Linked DNA regions of Zea mays. Each later gene encodes a partner of the first gene's protein in a complex. Links are inferred from orthologs where the notes say so. Each region holds a gene or a part of one and is shown on either strand. Other genes may lie near its edges.

Region 1 (6,971 bases):
CGCCGTCCTCGGTGAGATCCGCGCCCTCCAGTGGGGCGAAGCCTGGGGGCGGCTGCGATTGTCCTTCGGGCCCGCAGGTGCGGAAGGTGTCGTCTTCGCAGGTGTGGGAAATGTTGTCTTCGCAGGTGCGGGGAATGTTGTCTTCAGTGGGCTCTTGGTGGGTGGATTGGGTGAGGGCGAGGGCCTTGCCCTTTCTCGCGGCCAGCAGTGCTGCCTTCGCAGCCTCGTCAGCCTTCGGGTTAGCTCTCTTGGGTGCCATCGCGGGTGGTCTTGTCGTAGCACGAACGGTGGGCGCCAAATGTTGGAACTTGCTCTCAGTAGCAAGGAGGCCAACAAGGGTGAACGGTGGTGACAACAGGGTTACGTGCTCGGGGGCAAATGGCTCTGTTAATCTAGCCTCTCACGGGCACTGTGCGGGGGTATTTATAGGTATCTGAGTGCCCAGCGCCTTGTGTTAAGGACGCATGTGCCCTCGGACACCTAGTTTATCCCCAGAATATTCCCATAAAGCAGGGTTACAAGCTGTACTTACAAGAATGCCTTTACAAACTAGGCCCGTAACACAAAGGCGGCCACGCGAGGCCCGTTACAATGGGCCAGATCACACGTGGGCCTTAGAGCAGGACGAAGCCGTGCTGCGGGGAGACGTCACCGCAGGCCTTCGTCTGGTGCTGAATGAAGCGAAGGGTGTCCCTGCCCGTTTTGTCTTCGTCAAACCAGCGACTGCAGCGAAAGGCGACGAGCGAAGGGTGGCGTCTTTGCCTTCGCCCCAACACACCCCCCATCGATTTTTCCTCGGAATGGAATCATGAAAAATTCCAACGAAAACATTTATGGCCTGTTTCGATGACTATGTATTCACCTTTATCCATATTTATTAGAGTATATGTGTGCTGGACATGATGTTGTGATTCCCATTAACATTGATGGAAGAAAAAAAATCTAGTTACCTCACTATACGCAGACTGACGTTGTAGCTAATACTTATTAGGGTATCTTTAACCCCGTTGGGAATACCTGAATTCACCCCAAACGATTTTAAAGATGCTTTGTTGCCAGCCAATGAACCGAATGATCGTCAGCTCGGTTATGTTCGGTCTTTGTTACGCAAACACTTTGTGTGGAATGTATTTTCATTTAATGCTATATTGGTTGATTAGAACTGAGTCATCTTCTCTCTGCTACATAGCCAACAAATCTATTTGCTAACAATCTTCCTCAGAAAAAAATAGCAGGAAAGGAAAGAACTTTAAAAGTACCTGGCAAATATCTGAAACTTGGTATACTATTCATGTCACACTAATTTTATCAATCACAACCAATTCACCTTCTGTCTTCTATGTGAACAGGAAATCTCTACACCTAGCAATCTTCCTCAAAAGAGATAGGAAAATGCATCAAAATGCTTGGCGAATCTCTGAAACTGAGTCAACCACTTAACAGCAACTCAATAGCTATTCATATGCCCCGATTTTTGCAGCTTGCTCTAGGTGAATAAATTTGCTCAGGTGTCAGATGATCTGAACTTACTGTAGCATTATGCAGAAAACCAATCTCCGTTTTTGAAATATTGTATGTCGACTCTTAAGGAACTTGCAGCTCATATTGGTGAGGTGGTTGTTAATAAGTGCTTATCTGCTGCTGCTAAATCTGGCATGTTTGTCAGCTTGAGGACAAGCGCAAAACTCTGGCAGAGATCTGTAAGGTTACTGCTCTCACAGAAGTCACCAAATTCCCCTTTCTCAACCTCTCCTAAATCTGATCGGGACAAGACGAACGTTCATGGATTCAACCTTAATGAGGCATCACGTGCTATGAATTCTGATAGAACAGTCATCACAGCGAAACCAACTTTTGGTGATCGATTGTCGAACAAATCAAATACAGTTCCATCTCCCAGCACCAGCAGGCAGCTTAACCAGGGGGGGGGGGGGGGGGGGGGGGGGGGGGGGGGGGGGGGGCTGCTACTGCAACCGTTCCATCATATTCAAGGCTTCGTGGGCAGCAGTCGGGCTTAGATCTTGTAGCTGCTCTCAAGGGGATTGGGAAAAAGGAGTGCTGGGGATTGTGGTGATGGCCGGGATAAAGAAGGGAAGTGAATAGCTGGTGCTCTGTAGATGTATGTCTGTAGTAGAGTTAGTTTGGCCACCTCTATGGCTCATCATTCTGTATTTCTTTTGCCTCGTGCCAGGAGCTGTGAATGTAGCTTCTCCTATTTGAGCGCTGGTATGGACAGTCTATCCAGGCAAGAAGAAGGTAACTGATTGTTCCTTGAAACGATCAAGTTTATGCCAGCCAGATCGACACTTTTAGCTGAGGTCACAGTAATATCCAATTCCACGATCTTCCTTTCCGAACAAATCATTCATGATCTTCTTCGAAAGTAATGCTAGAGGAGACAGAACTCGCCCATGTTTGCCACCAGACACCTCGCTTTGAAAGTAACAAAGCTGGAGGGGCTCGAGCGCAAATGCCCCTGGAACCGGATAACACACCGCGATAGCGAAGCAGAGGTCTTCCAAAACCCAACGCGGCAAACGGCTTCCTCACCCCCCCTCCCCTCGCCATGGCCGTCCCCACCTCCACCTCCTCCCCGCTCCCCCTCCTCTTCCTCCATCGCTGCACCGCAAACTCTAGCCCCTCGGTTCTCTCCTTCCCGTCCTCCCTCCGCGGCGCGTCCCTCCGCTCCCGGGCCGCGGCCGCACCGCCCGCAGAGACCCTCTCTGACGACGGCATCCCCGACGCGCCACCGGTACGTGACTGAACTGATATTGCCGTGTCTTTTCGCACACGCAGAGTCCAAAACCTGCGAATTTCATGATGGCGTGTACCGCTTGGTTATGGGGGTTACAATTACATGGCGACATTGGTTCAGTTGGCACACTCGTTAGACCTTGTTCATTCGGTGACTAAAATTGTTAACCTCGCGCTTTCAGGAAGGGGCAGGAACGGGAATTCCGTTGCCATCGTCGATTGGGGATGATGGGGAGCAGGTACCTTCCATAGCAGTTAAAAATTTCCCAGATTATTATGTTACCGAATCTTTTGTTCTGATATTGTTGCTTCCTTGATCGAATGAACTGTGAAAAGTTATAACCATAAACCATACAACATGTTTCTCTTTTATTGCTGCATAGCAGTGCACATTTTACTTGTGATTGTTTAATCACAATAAATGGAGAGCACGATGTGCTCTGGGTATTTGTGTAAATGGCATTTAGAAATCGTTCAGGACGCAATGCAATGATGCTAGACAATATCAGTCAGCACATTCGTTTAAGCCGTTAATCTTAGTGTAAACTGTTCTTAACGTGAGTGTGACTTGGACTTCAAAAATGTATGTTTTTGTAGAAGTCCATATCACGTTAGACAGTTTAGCATCCTTAATGCTTAAGCCATGCATAGTTACCAGCACATGATTGAAGAGACTATGTGGGAAATTCATTTCGTTTGTCCTTTAAATCATTCCTATCAGACTAGAATGAGGATATCTGAGGGTCTATGGTGGTTTAGCTTTCCAGATTCTACTTAGCAGTTGAAAGCTTGCTGGATCAAACTTTCAAAGTTTTCTGCCTATTAATGCTCTGTTCCTCCTTGGAATTATTTGACGTACTTGAAAAATGGTGGACGGCGTGGGAGAGGGGGAGGGGCAGCATAGGGAGAGGGAGGGAGGGAGCAATAACTCTATTCTTGCTTAGACTGAAATAGTTATTTGCCCCTATATTTAATTATTTATAGTTCCTATAGGACTTGTATCCCAAGCATCATTCTTATAGATTTGTAATCTTGTTTCCTAACAAACCAATCTTCTTTCTTAAACAAACTCTATCATTATTTTCTAAACAAGCTATATTTTATTTATTCCAAGCTTATTGAAGATTACCTTTGAGTTTCCATCTATTCCGGATTCTCCAGTGCGGGAGGGATTCTAGGGGCAGTAGAGGCCGCGGCTCATCAGGGCCTGGTGTTGGGCCTCAGTTGGGCCACTAGGCCCGACATGGTGGCCCATATTTAGGCCTGTGAGGCTGTGACATACTGACTCATGACTGAAGCCTAGTATCATTTGGCCATCGAAAGAAAGCAAAAAAAAAAAAGACAGCAGTTGTCTCAAGCGCTCAGCAACCATGGACCATGAATTCCTTATTGTCTTTACCTCGCTGTAATTGCGCCCACTGTGGTAGTCAGTGTGTTCCCCTGAACAGTTAGCAATATCTAACTGTGTTGTTGTGTTTACAATTTGACAAGTTATGCAATTCCTCTTGCTTGTCTCCCTAGGAACCTCCATGGTACTGTCATTGAACTGTTGGAGTCGAGTTGAGATGCTTCCTTCATTCTAAAATATATAATGTCAATGTGTGTGCTCAGCCTTTTAAACTTGTATAAACTTATTTACTTTTCTCACATGGAAATGGTCAAATTGTAAACAGGACAAAGGTGTGTTTTGAAGATCCATGTCCAAAATGGCTATTAAGTAGTAAAATTAAATAGAGCTAACACTGTATAATCTGTCATTGAGGCTACTCCTTGTAGTTTTATGTTTACTTTGCTTCATGCTTCTGCAGTTCTGCTTGTTAAGCATGTCCATCGTAAATATTTGTCTGCAGTTGTTGTATGGAAGTGCTGAAAACGAAATTTTTACAAGGCCTTGTGCACAGTTGGGATCCTCCCATAGTGATTCTTATTTTCTTTAGATGTATCACAAGAGGAAATGGTGATAATAAACAGATACGGAGAGATACTTGTTGGTGTTTTGCATGAAGCTGGATCTAAGGGCCTTGTAGTGTTGTGTCACAGATTTAGATCATCAAAGGAAGGTAGAATTATGTTAAGTCTCGCTGATGCATTAACATCAGAAAATGTCAGCATATGTGTTTTGATTATTCTGGTAATGGAGAAAGCGAAGGTACTTTTGGATAAGGTTACTATAACGAAGTGGACGTTTTATGTGATGCGATCCTGCATTTCAAAAACACAAACGTGACACCCATGCTATTGCTGGCCACAGTAAAGGAGAAAATGTGGTTATCCTCTATACATCCATGTATCACGAATTCACGGTATATCTAAAGCTATTAACCTTTCTGGAAGGTTTAAGCTGGAACGTAGAATTGGAGATCATTCCGTAAATGATTACATGGAAAGGATTAATCAGCATGGTTTCATTGATGTGGAAGACAAAATAGGAGTATCATCTACCGTGTGACCAGACAAAGTCTGATGGATGGTCTTAAGACAGGCACTCTGCAATCTGCATGCATGTCTATTGACCAAACTGCAGGGTGCTGACAGTACATGGTGCTAATGACGATGTTGTGCCGTCAGAGGATGCTCTAGCGTTTGATAAGTATATAAGCAACCATGAATGGCATATTATCGAAAGAGCTGATCATAGATGTGCAACTCATCAGCTTGAATTAGCTGCAACCGTACTGAAAATTTATTAAACTGGATGAGGGTAGGCAGAAACAAACGCAGCCATGTGACATACCCTTTTTGCCCCAATATTTTTGATATATTAATTTTAGTGAAGAACTGTTTTATTGAACATTTATGTTTTTCATAATATTACAATATTTGGCCTGCATCACATCAGCTTGAATTAGCTGCAATTGTACTGAAATTTACTAAATCTGGATGATGGTAGGTGGAAACAAACATAGCCACGACATAGCCTATTTTGCTGGAGGACTGTTTTATTGAGCATGTTTATTTTCCAGAACATTACAATATCCCTCCTCTCCGCCCAACACACACGCAATATATATAGTGCAAAAGCATGCGCTTGCCTTCACAAATTGACCTTAATTGACTTGATAACATCAAGGTGTCTTGATTCCTAGCAACTACATGTTTGTCGTACAGGTAATTGAAGTGTTGTACAGGTAATTGAAGTGTTATAAGGTTTATTTTGCCTTTTGGAAACATATTTAAACATTATATGACCCTTACCCTAAATCAAACACATGCTTTTATTTCTTCACTGTTCAGTTTGCATGCAGAAGTTGCTATCTTTCAACGACTAATAACACTTTTTATGAATGTTATCTGTTCTCAGCTTGCACCCAAGCAGAAGATCAGAATCAAGCTGCGGTCCTACTGGGTGCCGTTGATAGAGGACTCGTGCAAGAAGATAATCGAAGCTGCCAAAACAACCAACGCAAAGACCATGGGTCCCGTTCCTCTGCCCACTAAGAGGAGAGTCTATTGTGTGCTTAACTCTCCTCACGTGCACAAGGACTCACGGTTCCATTTCGAGATCCGGACGCATCAGCGGCTGATTGATATCATGTATCCAACTGCCCAAACAATTGATTCGTTGATGCAACTCCAGCTCCCTGCCGGTGTGGATGTTGAGGTTAAGCTATGATTCTGTTGGAGCTGAACTTTCCGAAGTTTGATGTAATGAGGTATTCATTTTCTGCAGCTTTTCTCTGGGACTGAAAGAAATGTAGTGCCTGTACTAGGAAAGAAGATGTTCAGAATTGAATGTACTTGATTTGAAGTATATCAGATGATATGGTTCATGCTAGCTGTATACTTGTATTACTGTATTGGTGGCACTAAAATTTCTTCTAGCAAGTCTGAAGCAGACGAAGGATTGGCCAAATTTGTAAGCTTCTGAAGGATCGTTTGAGTCGTCTGGATAAGCAAAATACTCTTTCTTGCTGGTTGCACTGATTCTGCTCAACAGACTGACGGTGCTTTGTAACTTGTAAAGGGGATTTCTTTCTATTTTTCTTTGATAGTTTGGAAACTTAAATCCGCTCCGGGAATTCATGATTCTCGGAGAGGATTTAAATTTCCAAACTATTCCTTAGGGCTTGTTTAGTAGCAAAGATACTGGAGAGGATTAGAGGGGCTAAAATCCTACGAGAATGGTAGTTTCTTTCTTTCTCTTTTCAAAAAAAAGTACACTTTCAGTTGGCTAGGTGTGCTGTTCTATTTTTAATAGATCAAGTGATATTCGTTTT
Region 2 (6,297 bases), about 280 Mb from region 1:
CATCATGATGCAATGCTAGATACATACTGATGATTCTTTGTTTAATTTGTAGACCGATCAAAAGTTGCGCCTCTGTGATATATGTGGAGCATTTCTGAGTGTATATGACAAGTAATGCTTCTAGCTCTTTGCATTCCCAAAAATATCTGAAGCTGTCAAATTGAATATTTATCCTAAGCTGAAAATATTGGGTTTTTATTGGGTTTAAAAATTGCACCTTGATAAATCAACCTTGACTTGTGGGTTCCATCGGGCTTTTATCCCTAGCCTACCCCAACTTGATTAGGATAAAAGGCTTTGTTGTTGTTGATCCTAAGCTGAAAATATCTCAACAGTGATCGACGTCTTGCTGACCATTTTGGAGGGAAACTGCATCTAGGCTACATGCTGATTCGTGACAAACAGAAAGAACTTCAGGTAAATTCCTGCATGCCTATGCCCAAAGTAGAAGTTAAACACTGGAGATTTATGAAACAGATTAATACTTCCAAGGTTTCCAAACCTTAAAGACAAATAAAACAAAATTTACATTCTGTTTGGCCATCATCAGAATACGATAATCTTGGTTTATTCACTTATCCTCAATCTAAATCTATAAAGGTGCAATTTATCAGGTGCTGAGTGTAATGTACCGTTTTCTGCTTTAAAGAGTTACTCTGTTTTGGGCCTTTTGGCATCTGTGAGTTTTCTTATCTCAAGAGCCTCAAGGTTCTCACCTTCCCTCTATATATTATTTGATTCTCACATTGCCGGGCACTATGGTTATTACGATAGTCATTACAGGAATTAGTCCATGTCGCGTGATTGGAATCTCATGCGATGATCTTCATACCTATGGCTACAACAGTCACTGTCTGTTGACAAATGTAAGCATAGGAGCGTGCGGACCATGGTATGAAAAAAATCATGTTTACTTAATTGTGACAAACTGCTCATGTGTCTGCTTAGTATCGATTGTTGGGCAGAAGCTGGAGGTTGCCTTTTTACTGCCTGAGCCATATTATGTAGACCAGGTGACAAATAATACTGGTTAAGTTATCCTGAAAGCACACTTCTTTTGCCAACATTTTGCTGTAAGTGACAACTTGTTCTGTTTTCTATCTGCTACCTCCTCCATAAGTTTGCAAGTTACATTTTGCTGAAGCAACCTTGCCTGTAAAGTATCGCCCGCCCTATCTTTTGGAACGTTGTCTCTGATTTTAAATATGCCAAAATATCATTATCTGTACTGTCAATAAACAAAATACACTGTGGCATCTTGCAGGAGCAGAGAAACAAAAGGAGGACAGGCAAAACTGAAGATGATAGGCGGTATGGTATTCTGTATTCCGCATCCTCATTGTTTTAGTCAGCAATCAGCATCATGGTCATCTTATCTGAAAGCATGCCCATTTGGCTCTTTTAGATCTAGAGAGCAGAGCAAGGATCGAAACGGCCCGCCGTCCAGGGATAGAGATTCAGAAAGGAGAGACAGGGTTGAGTCTCGAGATGGAAGAAGAGATTATGATAGGGAACGCGATAGGCGTCACGATAGGGACCGTCGCCATGACCGCGACCGGGATAGGGATTATGACCGCTCCCGCGGATATGACTCAAGGAGAAGAGAGCGTTCACGCTCCAGGGAGCGCAGCAGGTATTGCTGAATAATAGGCACACTTTTTTATTTGAAACCCTTGTGCCTCACATCGTTGACTGACCCAGGTATTTGTTTATGATTTCAGGCGCCATGAGAGATACTAAATGTTACTCCATGGCTGACAGATTTTGGATTGCTGGCGTCTGTTCTGGTTTGTGTTGTGCTTTGTGTCTTATCTTCCGAAGTTTCCTGTTCCTGCTCGAGAAATCCGAAAGCCAATCTGCGTTCTGCATCATGTCATGTCCTAGTGTCGTACTGTTTAGTTATATGCCGAGAACATCTCTTTCATCAAATGAATATTTGGAAACACCAACGCACTTGACGCTAAATGGGAATGAAGTGTGGAGTATTTAAACGCCTCTGAAATCAAATGAAAGTTGTACTTGTACGAATCTCTTCCACAAATTGCACTGTATATGCTTGTACTGTTGCAGATTTACGATGGGTTTGGACTGTTCTCCATCCCCGGAGCGCGCTCAGGCTCGACGCTACCTAGCTACGGACCTTTATTTTTGGTACCTGATGAAACATGATGGTTTTAGGAGGCGCGGTGTTTCTCTGGCGAACGATGGCCGGACGTCCATTTTCGAGAACCACAAGACAAGAAACATATTCAAAAAAAAAAAACTCAACAATCATGGCAAAGGTGGATTCTTGTACAGCAGATTTCTTGTAGTATGGTATGTGAACAAAACAGTGTTCAGGGCCTGAAGGCGGAGGAGGCAACCCGTCTAACTAGACGGCCTTCCGCTGGCGGACCTTGAAGCTGGTGGAGCGGATGACGTCGTCGTCGGCGTTGAGCTTAAGCTGCAGGGCGTCCATGGACTCCGGCTTGGTGAAGTAGGTGATGAGGAGGTAGATGCCGTCGTAGTAGGTGGACGGCAGCCCGGTGCGGCTGTTCCTCTTCCTGATGCTGTATGCCAGCGGGATGACACCGCGGTTGAAGACCTCCACGTACATGGCGCCGCCGGCGACGAGCAGCTGCAGCACAGGAAAACACCAAGCTGAGCTGGATTGGAATGGTACGCAGATGGCATGTGACTGATAACAGCGATTAAGGGCCCGTTTGGAACTAACAAATTGTTAGCTAGGTTAAACCAGCTAATGGACTGATTGTTAACTCACAAATTAGCTGAGTTATTAGGTAGGGGGTGTTCAAACCTCTACTGCTATATATTCAAGCTGTTCACCTGTCTTTAATCCGAAACGGTTTCTTGTCTCTATATATTACCGCCGCAGCATCTGACTTCAATGTGAACAAACTGATTAGCTCTAGACTAGAGTGAGTTTCTAACAGAAACAGTGCCTAACATACATGGTGAATTCAGGATAGGATGGCAATTAACTATGGCGGATCCACTTTTATACGTTTAGAAATCCTAATATTTATTGGATGAAATTCGAAACACTCGGAACCCTTTTAACATTCGTCTCGCATTGCTCAAGTATGATACCAGCCTGTCCAGAAATTATCATCTGTCTGCTCTCTCTGCCATCGGAACAGCAAATGGTAGCGAGATATGCAAGAGGCAGAGGTGAGCCGATCGAGCCGTGCCCGTGTTACGCTGCTCCATCCATCCAGTTAGCTATAGTGGCAGCCAAACGGAGCGGAGGCAAACGCAAATTACCTCCTCGTAGCGCTGGATGAAGGCGAGGCGCTCCTCCTCGGACATGTCGGGGCGGAGCACGACCATGGTCTCGTACTGGCGGAGGCCGGGTGGGCAGGGCGGCATCTCGCGCTCCTCCAGCGCCAGCGCGGCTTCCGCGGCCGACATCCCGAGGCCGCCGCCGCCCAGCCCTAGCCCCGGGCCGAACCCCGACTCGTAGCCGACCTCCTCCTCCTCGTCCGCGCCGCCGGCCGCGGACATCGCCGAGCCGCCGTAGAAGGACGCCGCGTACCCAGTGGAGACCGCGCGGGGGCGGGCGAAATGGGAGGGGGCGGGGGAGGGGAGGCGAAGCAGCATCGCAGCGGGCGGGCAGGAGCGGAAGGGCGGCAGCGCGGCGGACGCGGATGCGGAGGAGAGCGGCAGCAGTGCCATGGGTGGCGGCATTGGAGGGGCCAAGGGGAGCCGAGCGGCAGGGGGGCGACGAGCGCGAGCAGGACAGGAGCCGGAGAGCGGGAGGAGGCGCTGACGCTGTTGGCGTCGCGTCCACTCGATAGATAAGGATAGGACGCCACGCCCTGTTTGGAGTTTGCACGGATTTTCATATTGGTGGAAAAACGGCCGGGTTGCCAGTTAAACCAAAATTGTTTACAACGTTAACTTTGTGTGTATTTCAACTATATGTAGTTATGCATTTCTTCTATGTTTTATGTGTATGATTCTTTTGTTGTCATATACGCAGCATGTATGTTTTCCTTTATTTACCCATAGAAAAAGTATAAATTATTCTTTTAATTATACTAATTGATTATCTAAGTTTGCTGTCCAAAGATTTAGGCAGCTAAAATACAATATCAACAGCGGACCTATATTTTTTTAAAAAAATCTCGAACAGTTGAATTGACTAAATATAGAGTAGACCTAATCTTCTCTGTATACGAGATATAAGGGGCCTGTTTGGTTCAGTTTTTTTCTGACCAGCTTTTCTGAAAATCTGGCTGTAAGGAGAATCTGGCTGTGGGGAGAATCTGAGTATCATTACGATTACGTGTGGAGGAAAATAAAGTTGTTCATAGGACTCAGGATCTAGAAAGTGATGAATTCATACTATTACAACGACTTAACCGATTATGTGTTTATATTGATTTTGGATGGTTTTTGTCCCAACGAATTTTATAGAAGCTGGCTGAAAAGCTGAGCGTTTGGCAATCCGCAGCAGCTTTTGGTGGCCAGAAGCTGCTAGAATCCGAAACAAACAGGACCAAGATAAAAGATCTAGTGAATTTGAACACCGAAAAACTTTGTGTGAAGGTCTGAAGACATTCTATTGTAGGTCAATTTGACAGGACTTCGACTCTACTTTCTCACGACTTCTTAAAGGGGCCAATAGCCGAAAACAACTCCTTGTAGAGCTCAAAAAGTCAAAGTCATTTTTTATAAAAGAGACACGATGCTGAAATATGGCTTTTATTTTTGGATTTTTTAAGCTTTTGCTCCAAGTTTTGCTGGTGTTCTCATTTTTACCCTTAGTCGTGTTTTTTTACTTAGTTTTGTCCTTCTAGTGTTATAGAGTAGTAGGGCAAAACTAAGAAAAAACACGACCAAGGTTAAAAATAAGGAATGAAGCAAAACTAAGGGTACAAATTTAAATAGCCCATTTTTTTACTTACAAAAACTTCAGCTTCATAGAAGGTACTCTACTGACAATAAAATAAGGAGCTAGAGCCCTTCTAAAAGGAGCCATATCAAATGAAACAACAGTATGAGTTTATTTGAGATTCACTAAAAATAATTTAAATTTTTGAAAAACTTTGTCAAACGATCTAGATCCACTAAATTTATATTTACCAAAATGGGGGATCTAAAGGCTAGATCCACTCTCTTGGTGAAGCTTCTCAATGGAAGCTCCAACAACATAAGTTTGATAGAGTTGAGAAAAGTTATCGACCACTACCATCGATTACAGTCCAATTCTTTCTAATTTTTCCACCTCTCTTCTTCTCCCGTCACACATCTTCTCTCTTCTAGCGTCGCTTTCTTCACCATGACATCTCCTCCCATGGCGAGCCCCTCCCTCGTTGTCTACTCGTGCCCGCACCATCGCTGGTCGGACCATGACCGTGAGGTCAATAGTGTGTGCCCTCGTTGGCTGGCAGCGCGAGCTTCTAGACTAGTGATGCACACTCCTTGACCGACTGGCCACCCCACCCCGTTTGGTTGTTTAGGTCAATCTTTGGATTATGCTGATGAGAGCACCTAGAGGGGGGTGAATAGGTGATCCTGTGAAACTTGAAAACTTAAGCCACAAAAACTTGGTTAATCGTTAGTACAATAATTGCCAAGTGGCTAGAGAGGAGTCAAAACACAATAACCACAAGAAATCAATCACAGAGATGACACGGTGGTTATCCCGTGGTTCGGCCAAGTACAAAACTTGCCTACTCCACGTTGTGGCGTCCCAACGGACGAGAGTTGCACTCAACTCCTCTCAAGTGATCCAATGATCAACTTGAATACCACGGTGTTCTTCTTTACTTTAATCTTTTCCCGTTTGTGAGGAATCTCCACAACTTGGAGTCTCTCGCCCTTACAATTGAATTTCACAAAGAAGCACAGAGTAAGGGAGGGAAGCAACACACACAAATCCACAGCAAGATGCGCAACACACGGTCAAGAATCGAGCTCAAAAGACTATCTCAAAGTTCTCACTAGAACGGAGCTCGAATCACTGAGAATGACAAACGAATGTGCAAAGACTGAGTGTGGATGATCAAGAATGCTCTAAGGTTGCTTGGATGTCTCCTCCATGCGCCTAGGGGTCCCTTTTATAGCCCCAAGGCAGCTAGGAGCCGTTGAGAGCAAATCTGGAAGGCCAATCTTGCCTTCTGTCGTCGGGTGCACCGGACAGTCCGGTGCACACCGGATACTGTCCGGTGCCCGATCTCCTTCCTAAAATGGCGCAGCCGACCGTTGCGGATCTGGGAGCCGTTGGCGCACCGGACATGTCCGGTGCACACCGGACAGTCCGGTGCCCCCTTCCGACCGTTGGCCCGGCCA
Region 3 (5,181 bases), on another chromosome or scaffold:
AACCATTAAAGGAGAAGCTGTGGGAACGACAAAACCTATGACTACATAGGATTTATTGAAAGAATCCTAACACTTCATTGGTGGATGGCGGACAAACCACAAAATTGCTTTATTTGATAAGGTTCTAAATTAACAAATAAGACAGGAAAGAGTAAATATTCGCCCGCGAAATCCTTATTGGATTAGAATACTTTACCACGATTCAATAAGAATAAAAAAAAAGGAGATTCCAAAAAAGGAAGGATTACATTTTATATAAATATTGAATTTGGATATATTCTAGATCTTCTTTCTTGACTATATATTTAATTTTTCTTTTTTAAGTTTAAGAAAGTCAAAATCAAAAAAACCTAACTTTTTCTATTATATATTGATGTGTATCTATCTATAATATTTTTGAATATTATGGAATTAGAGAAATGACATTCGCACGCTTCTCATTTCATTCGCGAGGAGCTGGATGAGAAGAAACTCTCATGTCCAGTTTTGTAGTAGAGATGGAACTAAGAAGGAACCATCGACTATAACCCCAAAAGAACTAGATTTCGTAAACAACATAGAGGAAGAATGAAGGGAAAATCCTGCCGAGGCAATCATATTTGTTTTGGTAGATATGCTCTTCAAGTACTTGAACCCGCTTGGATCACCGCGAGACAGATAGAAGCAGGACGAAGAGCAATGACACGATATGCACGTCGTGGTGGAAAAATATGGGTGCGTATATTTCCCGACAAACCGGTTACAATAAGACCCACAGAAACACGTATGGGCTCGGGAAAGGGATCCCCCGAATATTGGGTAGCCGTTGTTAAACCAGGTCGAATACTTTATGAAATGAGCGGAGTATCCGAAACTGTAGCTAGAGCAGCTATCTCTATAGCTGCCAGTAAAATGCCCATACGAAGTCAATTTCTTCGATTAGAGATATAGAACCCCAAAAAGGAATATTGAAGATAAAAAACCCCTGGTTTTTCTTTCTGGAAAGACAATATTTCTTTCATCCTTTTGCATTGAAATAACAAATGGAAATCCAAATAATATGATTCAACCTCAGACCCTTTTAAATGTAGCAGATAACAGTGGAGCTCGAAAATTGATGTGTATTCGAGTCATAGGAGCCGCTGGTAATCAGCGATATGCTCGTATTGGTGATGTTATTATTGCTGTAATCAAAGACGCAGTGCCCCAAATGCCTCTAGAAAGATCCGAAGTAATTCGAGCTGTAATTGTACGTACACGTAAAGAATTCAAAGGCGACGACGGTATAATAATACGCTATGATGACAATGCAGCAGTTATCATTGATCAAAAAGGAAATCCAAAAGGAACTCGAGTTTTTGGCGCGGTTGCCGAAGAATTAAGAGAATTGAATTTGACTAAAATAGTTTCATTAGCTCCTGAAGTATTATAAATACTAGTAGACGAGATATAGATCAAAGAAAAAATTAGTAGATTTTGTCTCACGTATATGCTTTAAAATCCTAAATTTAAAGAAAAGGGAAAACATGTTGATTATAGAAAAATTAGGAGGAACCTAGAATTAGAGTCTTATGGGCAAGGACACTATTGCTGATTTACTAACCTCTATAAGAAACGCAGACATGAATAAAAAAGGAACTGTTCGAGTAGTATCCACAAATATTACCGAAAACATTGTTAAAATACTTCTACGAGAGGGTTTTATTGAAAGTGTTCGGAAACATCAGGAAAGTAACAGATATTTCTTGGTTTCAACTTTGCGACATCAAAGGAGAAAGACTAGAAAGGGAATATATAGAACTAGAACCTTTTTAAAGCGTATCAGCCGACCTGGCTTACGAATTTATGCCAACTATCAAGGAATTCCTAAGGTTTTGGGCGGAATGGGAATTGCTATTCTTTCTACTTCTCGAGGTATAATGACAGATCGAGAAGCTCGACTAAACAGAATTGGGGGAGAAGTTTTATGTTATATATGGTAATGGCCCCACCTATAGTACCCAAATTCTATCTCGAACTTCCTATTTTGAAAATAAAAATAGAAAAATAGGAGAAAAATATATGACAGAAAAAAAAAATAGTAGAGAAAAAAAAAACCCGAGAGAAGCAAAAGTCACTTTCGAAGGTTTAGTTACGGAAGCCCTACCCAACGGAATGTTCCGCGTTCGCCTAGAGAATGACACCATCATCCTGGGCTATATTTCAGGAAAGATCCGGTCTAGTTCTATACGAATACTGATGGGGGATAGGGTCAAAATTGAAATAAGTCGTTATGATTCCAGCAAAGGTCGTATAATTTATAGACTTCCCCATAAGGATTCGAAGCGTACCGAAGACTCGAAGGATACTGAAGATTTGAAGGATACCAAAGATTCAAAGGATTAGGTTTTTCTGGGGTAATAACTTCCAAGTTTCAAAATTTAAGTGAAGAGACTTATTTTTTCCAAAAGAATAGATTCATAGTTTAAGAAAGGAATACCCATATATGAAAATAAGAGCTTCCGTTCGTAAAATTTGTACAAAATGTCGACTGATTCGCAGGCGTGGGCGAATTAGAGTTATTTGTTCCAATCCGAAGCATAAACAAAGACAGGGGTAATCTTTCGAAAAAGAAGCTTTTCTTTCTAATAGCTTTTCTTTCTAATTAAAGTAAAAAGTACCCACGGAAATGCCCAAATTGCAAATAAAAAAAATGAAAGTAAAGGATATATTTTAACCTGAAACGGATATCTTTGTATCTTTTTTCTTTTTGTTATTTCTAACTCATATTTATGAGATAATAAAATATGACAAAAGCTATACCAAAAATAGGTTCACGTAAGAAAGTGCGTATTGGTTTGCGTAGGAATGCCCGTTTTAGTTTACGGAAGAGTGCACGTAGAATAACAAAAGGGATTATTCATGTTCAAGCTAGTTTCAACAATACCATTATAACCGTTACAGACCCACAAGGTCGGGTCGTTTTCTGGTCCTCCGCAGGTACTTGTGGATTCAAAAGCTCAAGAAAAGCATCACCCTATGCTGGTCAAAGAACAGCAGTAGATGCTATTCGTACAGTGGGTTTGCAACGAGCAGAAGTTATGGTAAAAGGTGCTGGTAGCGGAAGAGATGCCGCATTACGAGCCATTGCTAAAAGTGGTGTACGGTTAAGTTGTATACGCGATGTAACACCTATGCCGCATAATGGATGTCGACCTCCTAAAAAAAGACGTCTGTAAAAAAAAATGAAACCGCTTTCAAGAGAAATAAACGATTCAATGATCAAATAATATAGTCTGTTATGGTTCGAGAAGAGATAACAGGATCCACTCAAACACTAGAGTGGAAGTGTGTTGAATCAAGAGTAGATAGTAAACGTCTTTATTATGGTCGTTTCATTCTGTCTCCGCTTAGAAAAGGTCAAGCGGATACTGTCGGTATTGCCTTGCGAAGAGCTTTACTTGGAGAAATAGAAGGAACATGTATCACACGCGCCAAATTTGGGAACGTGCCACATGAATATTCCACAATAGTAGGTATTGAAGAATCCATACAAGAAATTTTACTAAATTTGAAAGAAATTGTATTGAGAAGTAATCTCTATGGAGTTAGAGACGCATCAATTTGCGTCAAAGGTCCTAGATACATAACCGCTCAAGATATAATCTTACCGCCTTCCGTAGAAATCGTTGATACGACACAACCTATAGCTAACTTGAGAGAACCCGTTGATTTCTGTATTGAGTTACAGATCAAGAGAGATCGCGCATATCATACGGAACTCAGAAAGAACTCTCAAGATGGAAGTTATCCTATAGATGCTGTATTCATGCCTGTTCGAAATGTGAATTATAGTATTTTTTCTTGTGGGAATGGAAATGAAAAACACGAGATACTTTTTTTAGAAATATGGACGAATGGAAGTTTAACTCCTAAAGAAGCGCTTTATGAAGCTTCTCGTAATTTGATTGATTTATTTCTTCCTTTTCTACACACAGAGGAAGAGGGCACTAGTTTCGAAGAAAATAAAAACAGGTTAACTCCACCCCTTTTAACCTTTCAAAAAAGATTCACTAATCTAAAGAAAAACAAAAAAGGAATTCCATTGAATTGTATTTTTATTGATCAATTAGAATTGCCTTCTAGAACGTATAATTGTCTCAAAAGGGCCAATATACATACACTATTGGACCTTTTGAGTAAGACTGAAGAAGATCTTATGCAAATTAATAGTTTTCGTATGGAAGATGGAAAACTGATATGGGACACTCTAGAGAAGCATCTCCCAATTGATTTACCTAAGAACAAGTTCTCGCTTTAAATCATTGCAATTTTTTCCTCTTCTTCTTTTTTGAGTTAGAATAAAAAGAAAAAAGAAAGCAATTTGGCATCTTTGGCATAATCTATATTTTCGCGAAATGGATCATAATAAAATAGATTTTAGGTATCTAGGGAAGATTCACTTGGAAGTAACTATTTCCTAGATACCCATGCAGGGGACTTCGCGGTGGAATGAATCAACTCGAAAAATCCCTAAACTAAAAAAGACCTAAAGTTAAGGATTTATCAATGGGTAATGTTGCTCCAATACCTAACCAAAGAGCTACTGCAGTACCGATTAAAAAAACGGTCGTAGCTACTGGGCGACGAAATGGATTTTGGAATTTATTGACATTCTCTAGAAAGGGTACTGTCAATAAGCCCGTTGGCACAGAAACCATTAAGAGAACGCCCAATAACTTATTGGGTACTGTACGGAGTATTTGAAATACGGGAAAGAAGTACCACTCGGGTAATATTTCCAAAGGAGTTGCAAACGGATCCGCCGGTTCACCAATCATTGACGGCTCTAGAACCGCTAAACCTACATTACACGCAATAGTACCTAGAATTACTACTGGAAAAATGTATAAAAGATCGTTGGGCCACGCGGGTTCCCCATAATAATTATGTCCCATCCCTTTAGCTAATTTTGCTCTTAATACAGGATCATTTAAGTCAGGTTTCTTTGTTATTGGGATAGGTGAATTCTTTAGGATCCATCCCCCAAAGGAACCGGACATGAGAATTTTTCATCATCCGGCTCGAGCAAGAATGAAAGAAATAAGACCGTGGAGGATCCACAATAGAATAGGGGTATATAATGACTCAATGACTCAAGGTAAGAAAAACTTTATCAAATTATCTTTTCCGAAGTTGCGCCTATAACTACTCATTGAAAAG
Region 4 (5,105 bases), on another chromosome or scaffold:
AAAATATTTGTATCAATATCTATTCAGTAGATCCTTTTTTTCTGTGCCAGGAACCAGATTTGAACTGGTGACACGAGGATTTTCAGTCCTCTGCTCTACCAACTGAGCTATCCTGACCCTTTCTTGTGCATCATCTTAGTAAAGTATTTGCATCTATGTCAATTAAAGGGACTAAAAAATCAATAAAGTATTCCATTCAAAATTAGGAAATGGGAGGGGTTAGTCCTATGCATTGTGGATGGCTTACTTAATAATACTTAAAAAAAACGAATTAATAATCGAGATTCCTTGCCGATACTCTACTCTAATAAATAAAAAAGAAATAAAAAAGAAATCATCTATTTAATGAATAGCATAAGATTCATTGAGTTCTTGTCGCACTCCTTTGTGAAAGAGTAGAATGAGAAAGCTAGTGAATCTTAAACCCATTGATAAAAGAAAAAAAGGATAACAACTATGGTTAGGGAATAAAAGAGGGTTTGGGGATAGAGGGACTTGAACCCTCACGACTTATAAAGTCGACGGATTTTCCTTTTACTAGAAATTTCATTGTTGTCAGTATTGACATGTAGAATGGGACTCTCTCTTTATCCTCGTCCGATTAATCCACTTTTTAAAATTAAAAGATCTCGAAAACAATGAATTGAAGGATTTGATTACTCAATATTTGATTGGAATAGATTCACAATAATTCTAAAAAAAAATTATGAATTTTCTATTTCATAATCATTCCTAATTTCATTCTAAAAATAAAATAAAGAACCTATATTATAATATGGGTTCTGTGATTAATCGTTATTACTTCGATTCGTTAGAACAGCTTCCATTGAGTCTCTGCACCTATCCTTTTCCTTTGGGTTCTAGTTTGAGAACCACTTGTTTTTCAAAAAAGGGATTTGGCTCAGGATTGCCCATTTTTCATTCCAGGGTTTCTCTGAATTTGGAAGTTACCACTTAGCAGGTTTCCATACCAAGGCTCAATACAATCAAGTCCGTAGCGTCTACCGATTTCGCCATATCCCCATTTTACTTTTCTTTGAAACCAGGATTCCTTGTATAATTTAATCCATCTCTTAGTTTTTTTTGAATCATTGAATTCATTATTCGACGTAGTCTAGCAACTCATCTCTATTTGAGACACCCCGCTCGCTTATTGCAATTCAGAATTGCATTGATTTTATCGTTGATATATTTGCAATTCAATCGGAATGAATATATCCAAAAGTTTTTCTCTCTCCCGCCTCCCTCCTTCCTTTTTTAGAGTATTCCAAATCATACTATAACGCTTGATATTCATTCTTTTTTTCTAAACTGAATTAGAAATTTCATTTGCTATGATTCTATCTTCTCCTTAGTGAACTATTTATCCTTAAATTATTAACAAATAAAAAAACAAAATATCTCAAAAATGTATATAATGATCAAATGAAAATGCCAATCTCTTGGCATTTTCTCTTTATTATATTATTCATATATATTCTTCTTTTTCTTCTTTTCTATGTATTAGATTATTCCTCCGAGCCATATCAAATTGAAAATATCTGAAATCAAATTCAATATAGAATTTGGAATAGATTCTATTAAAAAAATCCATTTGCGAATTAGAGAAATAAAAAGAAAGTTCAATAAATTCTATAATCCTATTTAAGAATATCATTTAGTTAAGCATATCAAGCTAACTTTATCTTTATGAAATTCTAGTATTTTTTTTTTTCTATCTAAGTGGAACTTCCAATTTAGAACTAGTTAATAACTAAGATTAATAATTAAGATCTGACATTTTACAGATTCCCTATATATATATTTTTATTTGTTACACTATTTCTGTTATGTAAGCCCACTTAGCTCAGAGGTTAGAGCATCGCATTTGTAATGCGAGGGTCATCGGTTCAAATCCGATAGTCGGCTTTTTTTTCTATCGATGTTCTATGAACAAGAATTTCTCTTTTTCTCCGAATAAAATGGGGAATCAGGGTCTATTATGTCGTTTTACCTTACAATTTTGCTAGATACAAAGCATAAAAATAAATAATATATATACAAAAAATCCAGATGTTGATGAAATTCCATTTTTTGTGTTACTCCATTTTTTGTGTTACTTTAGTAGATTTTACTCTGTTTATCCTTTAGTTTAATTCTGTTTGAATTTCGCTGTATTCTGTAATGTAAATAGAACGAAATTTATTGTGTAAAATGAAATTTCAATAAAATAAAAAAGGAGTCTTCATGTCCCGTTATCGAGGGCCTCGTTTAAAAAAAATACGCCGTCTGGGAGCTTTACCAGGACTCACTAGAAAAACGCCTAAATCCGGAAGTAATCAGAAAAAGAAATTCCATTCTGGGAAAAAAGAGCAATATCGTATTCGTCTTCAAGAAAAACAGAAATTGCGTTTTCATTATGGTCTGACAGAACGACAATTACTTAGATATGTACATATCGCTGGAAAAGCAAAAAGATCCACAGGTCAGGTTTTACTACAATTACTTGAAATGCGTTTGGATAATATCCTTTTTCGATTGGGTATGGCTTCAACCATTCCTGGGGCCCGACAATTAGTTAACCATAGACATATTTTAGTTAATGGTCGTATAGTTGATATACCAAGCTTTCGTTGCAAACCCCGAGATATTATTACTACGAAGGATAACCAACGATCAAAACGTTTGGTTCAAAATTATATTGCTTCATCCGATCCGGGCAAATTACCAAAGCATTTGACGGTTGACACATTGCAATATAAAGGACTAGTAAAAAAAATTCTAGATAGGAAGTGGGTCGGTCTCAAAATAAATGAGTTGTTAGTTGTAGAATATTATTCTCGCCAGACTTGAACTTAACGAAAAAAGGAAAGGTTCATAGAATTTTTTTCCCCTTCCCCTTTCCCCGAACTAAATCGACCTAAGGCTCTTAATTCGTATTTTCCCGTTCACCTAGCAGAAATAGATTAACCCTAGGATACTTTTTTCTTTTTTGTTATTTCCTCGATGTGTATTTTACATACCACAGTAATTTGCTATAGAGAATTTCTATTAATTAAAGGTATTATTGTTGGAATAAATTGTTATTTAATTTGATACATTGTGATCGCTAACATTGATGAATTAAGAGAAACGGAAAGAGAGGGATTCGAACCCTCGGTAAACAAAAGTCTACATAGCAGTTCCAATGCTACGCCTTGAACCGCTCGGCCATCTCTCCTACATAATCTTATTATGGAAAATAAACTGAGTGAATAGCGAGTTTTCGTATTCCTGCAGTACAGGTACAGCCACAACGGCTCGGGAATTCCATGGCTCTATTGGATTGGATGGAAAAATTCCTTTTCATCTAAGTGGAAGGATCCTGTATTTTTTTACTAGGAATTCTGCTCCCTCGAAAAGTTTTTCTTTGGGGAAAACCAAAATAAAAAGAGAATGGAAGAATTCTTCTTATTCCATAAGAAAATAAAGGAACCCTAGAATTCCATTTGCATAAGGTACATTACGCCATACAATCTAAATATAAAAGGGGTATGGGGCAATTAATGACTTTGAAAACGCGAAATAGCTGATGAGGGAAGTTGTTGTTGAGAAATAGGAAAGTGGAATGAAATTCCAGTCTTAGTCAAATATTTCATATCTCTTCTTCTCTTCTTGTCCAAACAGAGGAAAAGGAGACAATTTGAGCTGAGCGGAAAATCCATATCTCTCTTATCCATTTAGAGCATATGGATCGATTTATAAGAATCGAATGTTTTGTTTTTATGTTATTTTGTGATAGAATGAAAAGAATTCTATATAGAATGGGTTGGGAATTATGCCTAGATCCCGTATAAATGGAAATTTCATTGATAAGACCTCCTCGATTGTAGCCAATATTTTATTGCAAATAATTCCGACAACCTCCGGGGAAAAAAGGGCATTTACTTATTATAGAGATGGTGCGATTTGACTCTTTTTTTTTTTAGCCCTACCTATATCTCATTCTTACGAGAAAGAGAGAGGGTTCGCATAGAGAGAACAAAATTAGTAAAGGAAACCCGCGCTTGGGGAAGGTGAGGTGAACTAACAATTCCTTCTGTCGTGTATCCTCGATTGATGTGGCCTCAGATGCTTCAATTGTAGATTTGAGTATTGAGCGAAAGGTTACACCTACAGGATAGGTTCTGTATTACAGGGCAATCCGACTCTACTAGTACCAATAGGCAGCATAGGGGAGAAAAGCACTACACCACGAAATAGGAATCAACAAGAGAAAAACTTTGTTAGAAATTAGCCCTTTCCTGATTGGTATCAGGGTTGGGAAGAATGGTTGGGATAACAAACAACCATCAGGTTTGTACTTTGGATACCCTTATAACCATCAAAGGTCGTTGAAGTGGCTAATTCCTCTAAATAGGAGGCGTTGAGAACAAAGAAATTCTTGGAGCTATCGTTTTCCTCTAGCATTAATATAATTCATTGGTGTTAAGAAAAACCTCTTGGGGGAAGGTTGGCTAGAGATTTCTTGGAAAAATACCAGCCCCCTTCGGTCCATAATGAGATGGGACTAATTCGATTTTTATTCTATAGATTTTTCGCTTAGTACTATGTATAGAAGGGAGAAGCCGTATGAGATGAAAACCTCATGTACGGTTTTGGAACGGAGATTTTTTGAATAGAATGAACGACCGTAACGGATGTTGGCTCAATCCGAAGGAAATTATGCGGAAGCTTTGCAGAATTATTATGAAGCTACGCGACTAGAAATTGATCCCTATGATCGAAGTTATATACTATATAACATAGGCCTTATACACACAAGCAATGGAGAGCATACAAAGGCTTTGGAATATTATTTCCGGGCGCTAGAACGAAACCCCTTCTTACCGCAAGCTTTTAATAATATGGCCGTGATCTGTCATTACGTGCGACTATCTCCACTATAGAAAGAAGAAAAAAAAGAAAGGAGGAAATTTTCTAGTGAATACTAGAAAAGAGGGCTTTCTACATAGGGATCGTCAAAACAACGATTTTACCCTATCAGCTGTAGGAAGGAAGGACACTTCACGAGAATCAAAATAGGAAGAAAGTAGAGCCTATACTACTATTCTATGGATAAAGCTGAAATTGATAGAGAAAACACC
Region 5 (6,723 bases), on another chromosome or scaffold:
ACAACTTGATGGACAAGGACTGCAAGGACAAAGGGTGGTCTGCTGCTGCCGCCGCCGGCGGCGGCGGCGGTCGGAAGCTTGTTGCCGAAGATGACAGGGAGGATGAGTGTGGCATTTGCCTGGAGACCTGCACCAAGATGGTCCTTCCGAATTGCAACCATGCCATGTGCATCAACTGTTACCGAGACTGGTATTGCTCCCTGTCGCTCTTGCTTATCCGTTTGGGGGGTGTATTATTTAAGCAACAATATATCTGACTGAGCCTGGATCGTTATCAGTTAGGGCCCCGATATCACACGCCACCATTAAAAAAATTCGCTAGCGGTTTGAACAGACTCAATGTGATGTCGATTTTAAAGATAAGGTTCGAGGAAACGAGTAAGCATTGACGCAGTCTTGAACTCTTGATAGCGCAAGGGTGGTTCAGTAATGATTTTCTTAAACTTCTCTGTGGGCTACTTCTACTCACTCATTGTTGGTGGGGAGTGGGGAGGGGGTGGTTGAACAACCCATCATAGTCCCAATGCACTTCTTTTTTCATGTTCACCATTTAAAGCCTCCATTTAGTCAAATTCAGATGCTACATTCTCCTGAACTGAATGTTTGTGTTTGTGTGTGTGTGTGTGGGGGGGGGGGGGGGGGGGGGGGAGGGGGGTTCCATTTTAATCTTCGCTCCCCTCATGTGCGGAGTTTCTTCTATTTGTTTTTTACCACCATGATGGCATGGGAGTCCATGTGTTTCTTGTTCTATATTTTTCAGCCTTCTGTTTGTCAAAACTAGGAGGGATTTTATGTGATCTAATGACCATGTGCCATGTCAGGAGATTCATTATCTTCATTCCTCCAGCAGTCCAGCTGAATGCCAGAGATTTGCTGGACAAAGTTTATGATACTTTGCGCCGTTGTTAAAAAGCCCCCACGTTTCGTCAACAATTAGCAATGGTCCATTAACGGAATCGAAAGCAGACAACTGGGAGTGCTGTTGTAGCTTTAATGAAGTCGTTAAACCATTATTCACCAGTGCCAGCCAACTGCTAAGTTACAGACAAAAAAATAATAAAGGGATAAAAGGGGAGACACTCGTTGACGTGGCATTCTAAATCCTAAATGATTGTATTCTCTTAGCTGGCGGATCATGCTTGTGTACCAAGGATGTCATCTGCAAGTCATTGTGTTTTGATACATGTCAGGTTGTTGGTTTCAATGATACTCATCAATCGGCTGCATCACTCCAAGTTTGGCGAAGTCAATAGTAGCTTTCACAATAATGTTGCTTGAGTTAGATTAGATTACGGATAAACTCAATGGGATTGGTTATTGCAGTAGATTCTTTTGGTGACCACTGGGCCCATCTATTGTTGTAGCGATAAGAGGGATCATCCCCAACTGTTTTAATGACCCCATCCTGTACTGTTCCAAGCAACACCAATGCTGAACGCTGTAACCTGGATGTTCCGTGACTGCAGGTACACAAGGTCCCAGTCATGCCCGTTCTGCCGCGGGAGCCTGAAGAGGGTCCGGTCCAGAGACCTGTGGGTGCTCACCGGCGACGACGACGTGATCGACACGGTGACGCTGGAGAAGGAGAACGTGAAGCACTTCCTCAGCTTCATCGACAGCCTGCCCCTGATCGTCCCCGACAACATGCTGCTGGTCTACTACGACTACCTAGTCTAGCAAGGCTCCTCCCCCCACCCCCCACTCTGAAGCTCTGGAAGAGGAAGGGGGTCTGGGAAGAAGACGCGGCGTACAAGCGACAAGGGTTACCCGCAGCCGACCATCCTCTGCGGATCGAGTTGGCAAAGCGAAGCCGTTGCCGACCAACAGACGATACTCTCGTGGGCATGCCACGCCGTTGCGCTGGCTTTATTGCATGGTGGCGTTGCTCGCTGTAATGGTTGTAAATAAAGAAGGAAAATGTCTCGGGTTTTATATATAATATACTAGCTTGACATTTCTCGTCTGGCGAATTGCCGGACTGTTCAGAATGAAGAAATCAGGGGGCCTCTACTTCTCTGCTCTATATATATCGTCTTCAATTCTCGTGGCCACCTGCACCATTCATAATCGTGAGCGTTGTTGAGGATTCATCCGTTCCTCTCCTTCTAGAGGTTCCAGAAGAAAGAAGACACATGTGGTCAGGTCATGCCATCGAACCGTCTCCACTCCGTGCAAGGCACTTTGCTTGAGGCGTTCTCCCACCACTACATTTTGGCCATCGGTTTTTTATTCATGATTGGGCACTGAAACTGAAACTCTGCTCGGTTGACATGAACCTGATAGCGACCGTTCAATCTGTGCTGTACAGTAGTGCACAGGTGAGTGCCTGACAGTGACCTTGGCAACTCCTCCATTCGGTATTTCGGTTGCTGAAATGAATTGGAATCGCTCCAGCCACACGCTCCCAAATACTACTAACTCCAGCTCCAGGACCGAAAATTGCCTGCACGGGGGTGGGGGACAGCTCGGGGCCGCTCCTTGACGCTCACCCTACCCTCAGGGTTTGTTGATGCACAAGCCATGAGCTCATCCAGTCCGGAAAGCTGGCACCTTGCACGGGTGGTGCCGTGAGGCCGGCCACCATGGGTTCAAGTGTCTGCCTCCACCAGTCCACCGCCGAAATCGAGATTCGAGAAGGACCAGAACCCTAACTCAGCAGGAGAAGCACGGGCCGGAGAACGACGCTGGAGCATCTAGGGTTTTGTTTTCTGTTAGCATGAATCAAAGCTAAGCTTTGGTCATCTTAATTATATTAATTATCAAAAAAAAGAAAGAGAAAGAAAAGGATCCAAGACCTGACCAGACTCGACGACGGCCTGGCTAGGTGTGTGCACCATACTTTACAGTAATGGCCGATAAGGTTACTTCTGGCCCAGCCCACACCAGCCCTGCAGCCCATCTTAGATGTGCGCTGTGGCTCCAACTGCGAGCCCTTTTATCCCTTATCCAACCTGATCCACCACACCACCATTCCCGAGCACACTAGTCTCTCTTCCCTGCGCTTGCTCGCTCCTTCTTGCCCCCATGGCGCTGCTCGCCGTCCAGGGCATGGCCATGTCCACCGCCGCCGCGGCCCTCCCATCTCACAACCACGGCGCCGTCTCATCCTACGTCTCCACCTCCTCCTACGCGCTCGCAGCCTCCGCCGCCTTCCCCCGCGCCCGGGCTGCGTTCGCCGTCGGCGCCGTCTTGTCGGCCACCGTCACTCCAGTTCTTGACGGTAATTAAACAGCTACCTCCTCACTCCCCTTGTTTTTGTCCGATGTAGGAGTAGTTTCTTTCTAACACATGTCACGAGCAATGGCTACTGTTTTCCACGCAATAAGGGAGAAAAGGCAATGACTACTATTACACTGACACTTGGGAAATTCGTTCCAATTCAATCGGGATTTTTCTTCTTTTTATGAAATAGTCAAGGGATTTATTACTGAAATGTACTCCCCAGAAGAGATGGAGGTTGTGATGCTGTTAGTCGATCTGGGTCAACTAGACTGACCAAGGAAAGCATCCAGTTTTTAACAAACTGGTTCATGAAAATTGTGGTGGTTCCAAATATACTAGCTTTTGTCCCAGTCTATAGAAGTTGGATTCTCAGTTTCTTAAAAACCAAGAAGCTAATCCCATCTAGCTAAAGGCAGTTTATAGAAATTGAGGTGGTTCTAAAAACTATTAACCAGTTTTTTTATAAATCACTTTATAGAAACTGAAGTTAGAAACTAGATTCTTAAAAACTAGGTTGCTTCCAAACATGGCCTAAGGGTCTGTTTGGAAGCACCTAGTTTTTTTTATAGAAATTGACGTGGTTCCAAACTAATTTATAGAAATTGGATTCCTAGTTTCTTAAAAAACCAAGAAGCTAGTCTTCTCTAGCTAAAATCAATTTATAAAAATTAAGGTGATTCTAAACACCATTAACCTTTTTTTTTATAAACTAGTTTCTAGAAACTGGATTCTTAAGAGCTTAAGTTGTTCCACACGAAAAAATTACGGTATCGAGGAGCAGGAGCATATATATGAACTGAAAACTACTACTGTAGTAGATTATTAAACCTTTACCGGTTGACTGATTCACTTCACACGGTGTCAGGAGTGAGTGCCAATCAAGGAAGCTGAATCTCTTGTTTATCACTACCGCCTATAGTTTTGGTCGTCTCTGTTGCCACTGGCCTCAGCTGTTGTAAACACTTGTTTCTGGTTTATTAATACAGAGAGTCAAAGATGGATGCTTCTCATGCGTGTACTTCAAAGAAGTTTTAGTTAATCATAATTTGAAATCAATTTCTGAAATTCTAGTGTCCATAGCCTGCTTCAGGATTTTATTCTCTGATTGTACTACGAACCCAACTGGGGTGCTGTCCCTTTTGGCCTCTGTTTATATCAATACTGATGATCCTGTGGACTGACAGACAGTTTTAAACTTTATCTGGTCTTGCTCAGTCTACTGCGGGAGAGGGGACAAGAAAACGAAAAGGGGCAAAAGGTTCAACCATTCATATGGCAATGTGAGTGCTCCAGCACAATTTACATCGCATTTTTGGTTTTTTCCCCCTGTTCTGTTTTATTTAGCTGTCTGATCATGTCTAGGCGAGGCCGCGCAACAAGAAGAAGGGAACTGGGCCTGCGCGGCTCTTTGCCCCTCCTGCTCCTCCAAGGAAGGATCAGTTCGATGATGGGGAGATCATTTCAATCGAGATTGACGAGGACATCCTGGAATAGGTTGTCCGAGTTCTGCCTTGCTTTATATTTGCCCTGAGCTTAATTGGCCTAGTTTGTACCAAATCAAATACTACATATTTTAAGTAATTATTTCCTCGCCTATAATTATCGATGGGTAGGCTGCCACACTTTCATTTGGCTAGTAATGTTCCTACTACTGACTGGGTTCTTTATTTTCCTTTCCAGCTGCTGAGTTCTTTACTCTCTTCAAAATGAAACTGTGTCGAAATAAGTTTTTTTTAGAAGATATTAAATGATTCATCTAGTGGTAACGGAGAGATTACACGTTTCATTTGTAAGGGGATTAATAAGATTTAATCTCTTTCAATCCTCTTCTAACCGAACAATCCAGCCCTAACAGGTAAAACAAAATCCAACTAGCGATTTATTCATACGTCAGCAATGTGCAAAGATCTTGCGTGCTGAACTAATGATCGTGTTGTGTTATTAATATGTGTTGCAATGATGTAAGTTTTGTTTCAAACTTCAGCTAACACTTTCAGGTCTCTTGCTATGCCAATCTCTCACGAGTGTCTCAGCAAAATATGATCCAAACAAGTTGCTGTCTCCAACTCAGCATATATGAATTTTTGCCGACTCCAACTCAGCATATAGAATTGTTTTTGCCGATACATAGCCAGAATTACAGCATAGTTGATAGAACAAAAAAAGGGAGCTGCTCGATTCTCCATCGGCAGGACCAACTTACACGAAATTTAACAGCAAAGAGACTAATTAACATACAAATATAAAGATAACCATCATCCCACATAGGAAGCATGTTTTTTGGATGTCCGAAAATAAGCTCTAACGAGCAAACCACACTCCGCAACCTAGCTCGTAGGCAGGAGTTCCAAAACGGGCACGCAAAGAGAAGCAACTCAGTACTTGTAGTCCTTGACGTGGAGGCTCTCGGTGTCGGCGGCAGCATCACCCTTGTAGGTGCCGAGGGTAGCCTCAGAGTTGGCCTTGCACCTGGCGAGGAAGGCAGCTCTAGCCTTCTCCAGGTTCTCCACCTTGCCAGCCCAGGCCTTGAGGGTGCTCGCCTGGAGGGCACGGCCGAAGGAGAAAGACAGGGACCACGGCTTCTTGGTGCTGAGCTTGTTCATGGCATTGAGGTTGCGGGTGGCCTCCTCCTCGCTCTGTCCACCAGAGAGGAAGACAACAGCAGGCACAGCAGCAGGGACGGTCCTCTGGAGGGTACGGACGGTGTACTCAGCAATCACCTCAGGGGTCACCTTCTTGGAGTCGGAGCCTGGAGTCACCATGTTGGGCTTCAGGAGGGTACCCTCCAGGAGGACATGGTGCTCGTTGAGCGCCTTGTAGCAGGCAGCAAGGACGGTCTCAGTGACGTAAGCGCAGCGATCAATGTCATGAGGGCCATCAACAAGGATCTCAGGCTCAACAATTGGCACCAGACCATTCTCCTGGCAGATGATGGCATAGCGAGCCAGACCCTGAGCGTTCAGGTCGATGGCAAGCTGTGATGGCTCATTAGGGCCAATCTTGAGAACAGCGCGCCACTTGGCAAAGCGGGCACCTGCCTCGTAGTACTTGGCGCAACGCTTGCCAAGGTCGTCATGGCCTTGGGTGGTGGTCTCCTTATCAGTGCCAACAACCTCAATGGTGCCCTTGTCAACCTTGATGCCAGGGAGGACGCCTCCCTCCTTGAGGACATCAACAAAAGGCTTGCCATCCTTGGTCTTCTGGTACAGGGTCTCCTCGAAGAGGATCACACCGCTGATGTACTGGAGAGCACCAGGGCAGCAGAATAGGAGCTCACGGAGGGCACGGCGGTTCTCCTCAACGTTCTCGACATTGATGCTGGAAAGGCGCTTGCCAATGGTGCCAGTGGACTCATCAGCAGCAAGGATACCCTTGCCGGGGGTGCCAATGTAGGCAGCATTCTTGATGAGCTCATCTGCAAAACAATATGCATAATAAGCATGGCTATCTACCAGGTACCAAGGCTATACTGAATAATACAAAATGACTTCCATTATCAAA

What was found.
Region 2: 30S ribosomal protein S10, chloroplastic (region 1) and 30S ribosomal protein S6, chloroplastic-like share a complex: the UniProt entries of both Arabidopsis thaliana proteins name them as parts of the 30S ribosomal subunit. The link is inferred for Zea mays from reciprocal best matches to the Arabidopsis thaliana genes AT3G13120 and AT1G64510.
Region 3: 30S ribosomal protein S10, chloroplastic (region 1) and rps11 share a complex: the UniProt entries of both Arabidopsis thaliana proteins name them as parts of the 30S ribosomal subunit. The link is inferred for Zea mays from reciprocal best matches to the Arabidopsis thaliana genes AT3G13120 and rps11.
Region 4: 30S ribosomal protein S10, chloroplastic (region 1) and rps4 share a complex: the UniProt entries of both Arabidopsis thaliana proteins name them as parts of the 30S ribosomal subunit. The link is inferred for Zea mays from reciprocal best matches to the Arabidopsis thaliana genes AT3G13120 and rps4.
Region 5: 30S ribosomal protein S10, chloroplastic (region 1) and 30S ribosomal protein S31, chloroplastic-like share a complex: the UniProt entries of both Arabidopsis thaliana proteins name them as parts of the 30S ribosomal subunit. The link is inferred for Zea mays from reciprocal best matches to the Arabidopsis thaliana genes AT3G13120 and PSRP4.

The regions. Positions count from the first base shown.
Region 1 is NC_050096.1:24,108,165-24,115,135, forward strand, and holds 30S ribosomal protein S10, chloroplastic, read left to right. Parts: upstream 1-2,448; 5' UTR 2,449-2,566; coding exon 2,567-2,752; intron 2,753-2,936; coding exon 2,937-2,993; intron 2,994-2,999; exon of another isoform or gene 3,000-6,049; intron 6,050-6,055; coding exon 6,056-6,367; 3' UTR 6,368-6,676; downstream 6,677-6,971.
Region 2 is NC_050096.1:303,986,542-303,992,838, reverse strand, and holds 30S ribosomal protein S6, chloroplastic-like, read right to left. Parts: upstream 3,803-6,297; 5' UTR 3,688-3,802; coding exon 3,265-3,687; intron 2,618-3,264; coding exon 2,372-2,617; 3' UTR 2,248-2,371; downstream 1-2,247. UniProt on the Arabidopsis thaliana protein: Binds together with bS18 to 16S ribosomal RNA.
Region 3 is NC_001666.2:75,268-80,448, reverse strand, and holds rps11 (ribosomal protein S11), read left to right. Parts: upstream 1-2,765; coding exon 2,766-3,197; downstream 3,198-5,181. Other genes in the region: rpl16 (ribosomal protein L16), read left to right, coding at 529-930; rpl14 (ribosomal protein L14), read left to right, coding at 1,040-1,411; rps8 (ribosomal protein S8), read left to right, coding at 1,551-1,961; infA (translation initiation factor 1), read left to right, coding at 2,041-2,364; rpl36 (ribosomal protein L36), read left to right, coding at 2,465-2,578; rpoA (RNA polymerase alpha subunit), read left to right, coding at 3,260-4,279; petD (cytochrome b6/f complex subunit IV), read right to left, coding at 4,497-4,971.
Region 4 is NC_001666.2:44,884-49,988, reverse strand, and holds rps4 (ribosomal protein S4), read left to right. Parts: upstream 1-2,226; coding exon 2,227-2,832; downstream 2,833-5,105. Other genes in the region: photosystem I assembly protein Ycf3, read left to right, coding at 3,797-3,920, 4,657-4,886. UniProt on the Arabidopsis thaliana protein: One of the primary rRNA binding proteins, it binds directly to 16S rRNA where it nucleates assembly of the body of the 30S subunit. With S5 and S12 plays an important role in translational accuracy.
Region 5 is NC_050098.1:170,388,660-170,395,382, reverse strand, and holds 30S ribosomal protein S31, chloroplastic-like, read left to right. Parts: upstream 1-2,966; 5' UTR 2,967-3,024; coding exon 3,025-3,220; intron 3,221-4,437; coding exon 4,438-4,502; intron 4,503-4,584; coding exon 4,585-4,716; 3' UTR 4,717-4,929; downstream 4,930-6,723. Other genes in the region: putative RING zinc finger domain superfamily protein, read left to right, coding at 1-190, 1,467-1,677; fructose-bisphosphate aldolase, cytoplasmic isozyme, read right to left, coding at 5,598-6,637.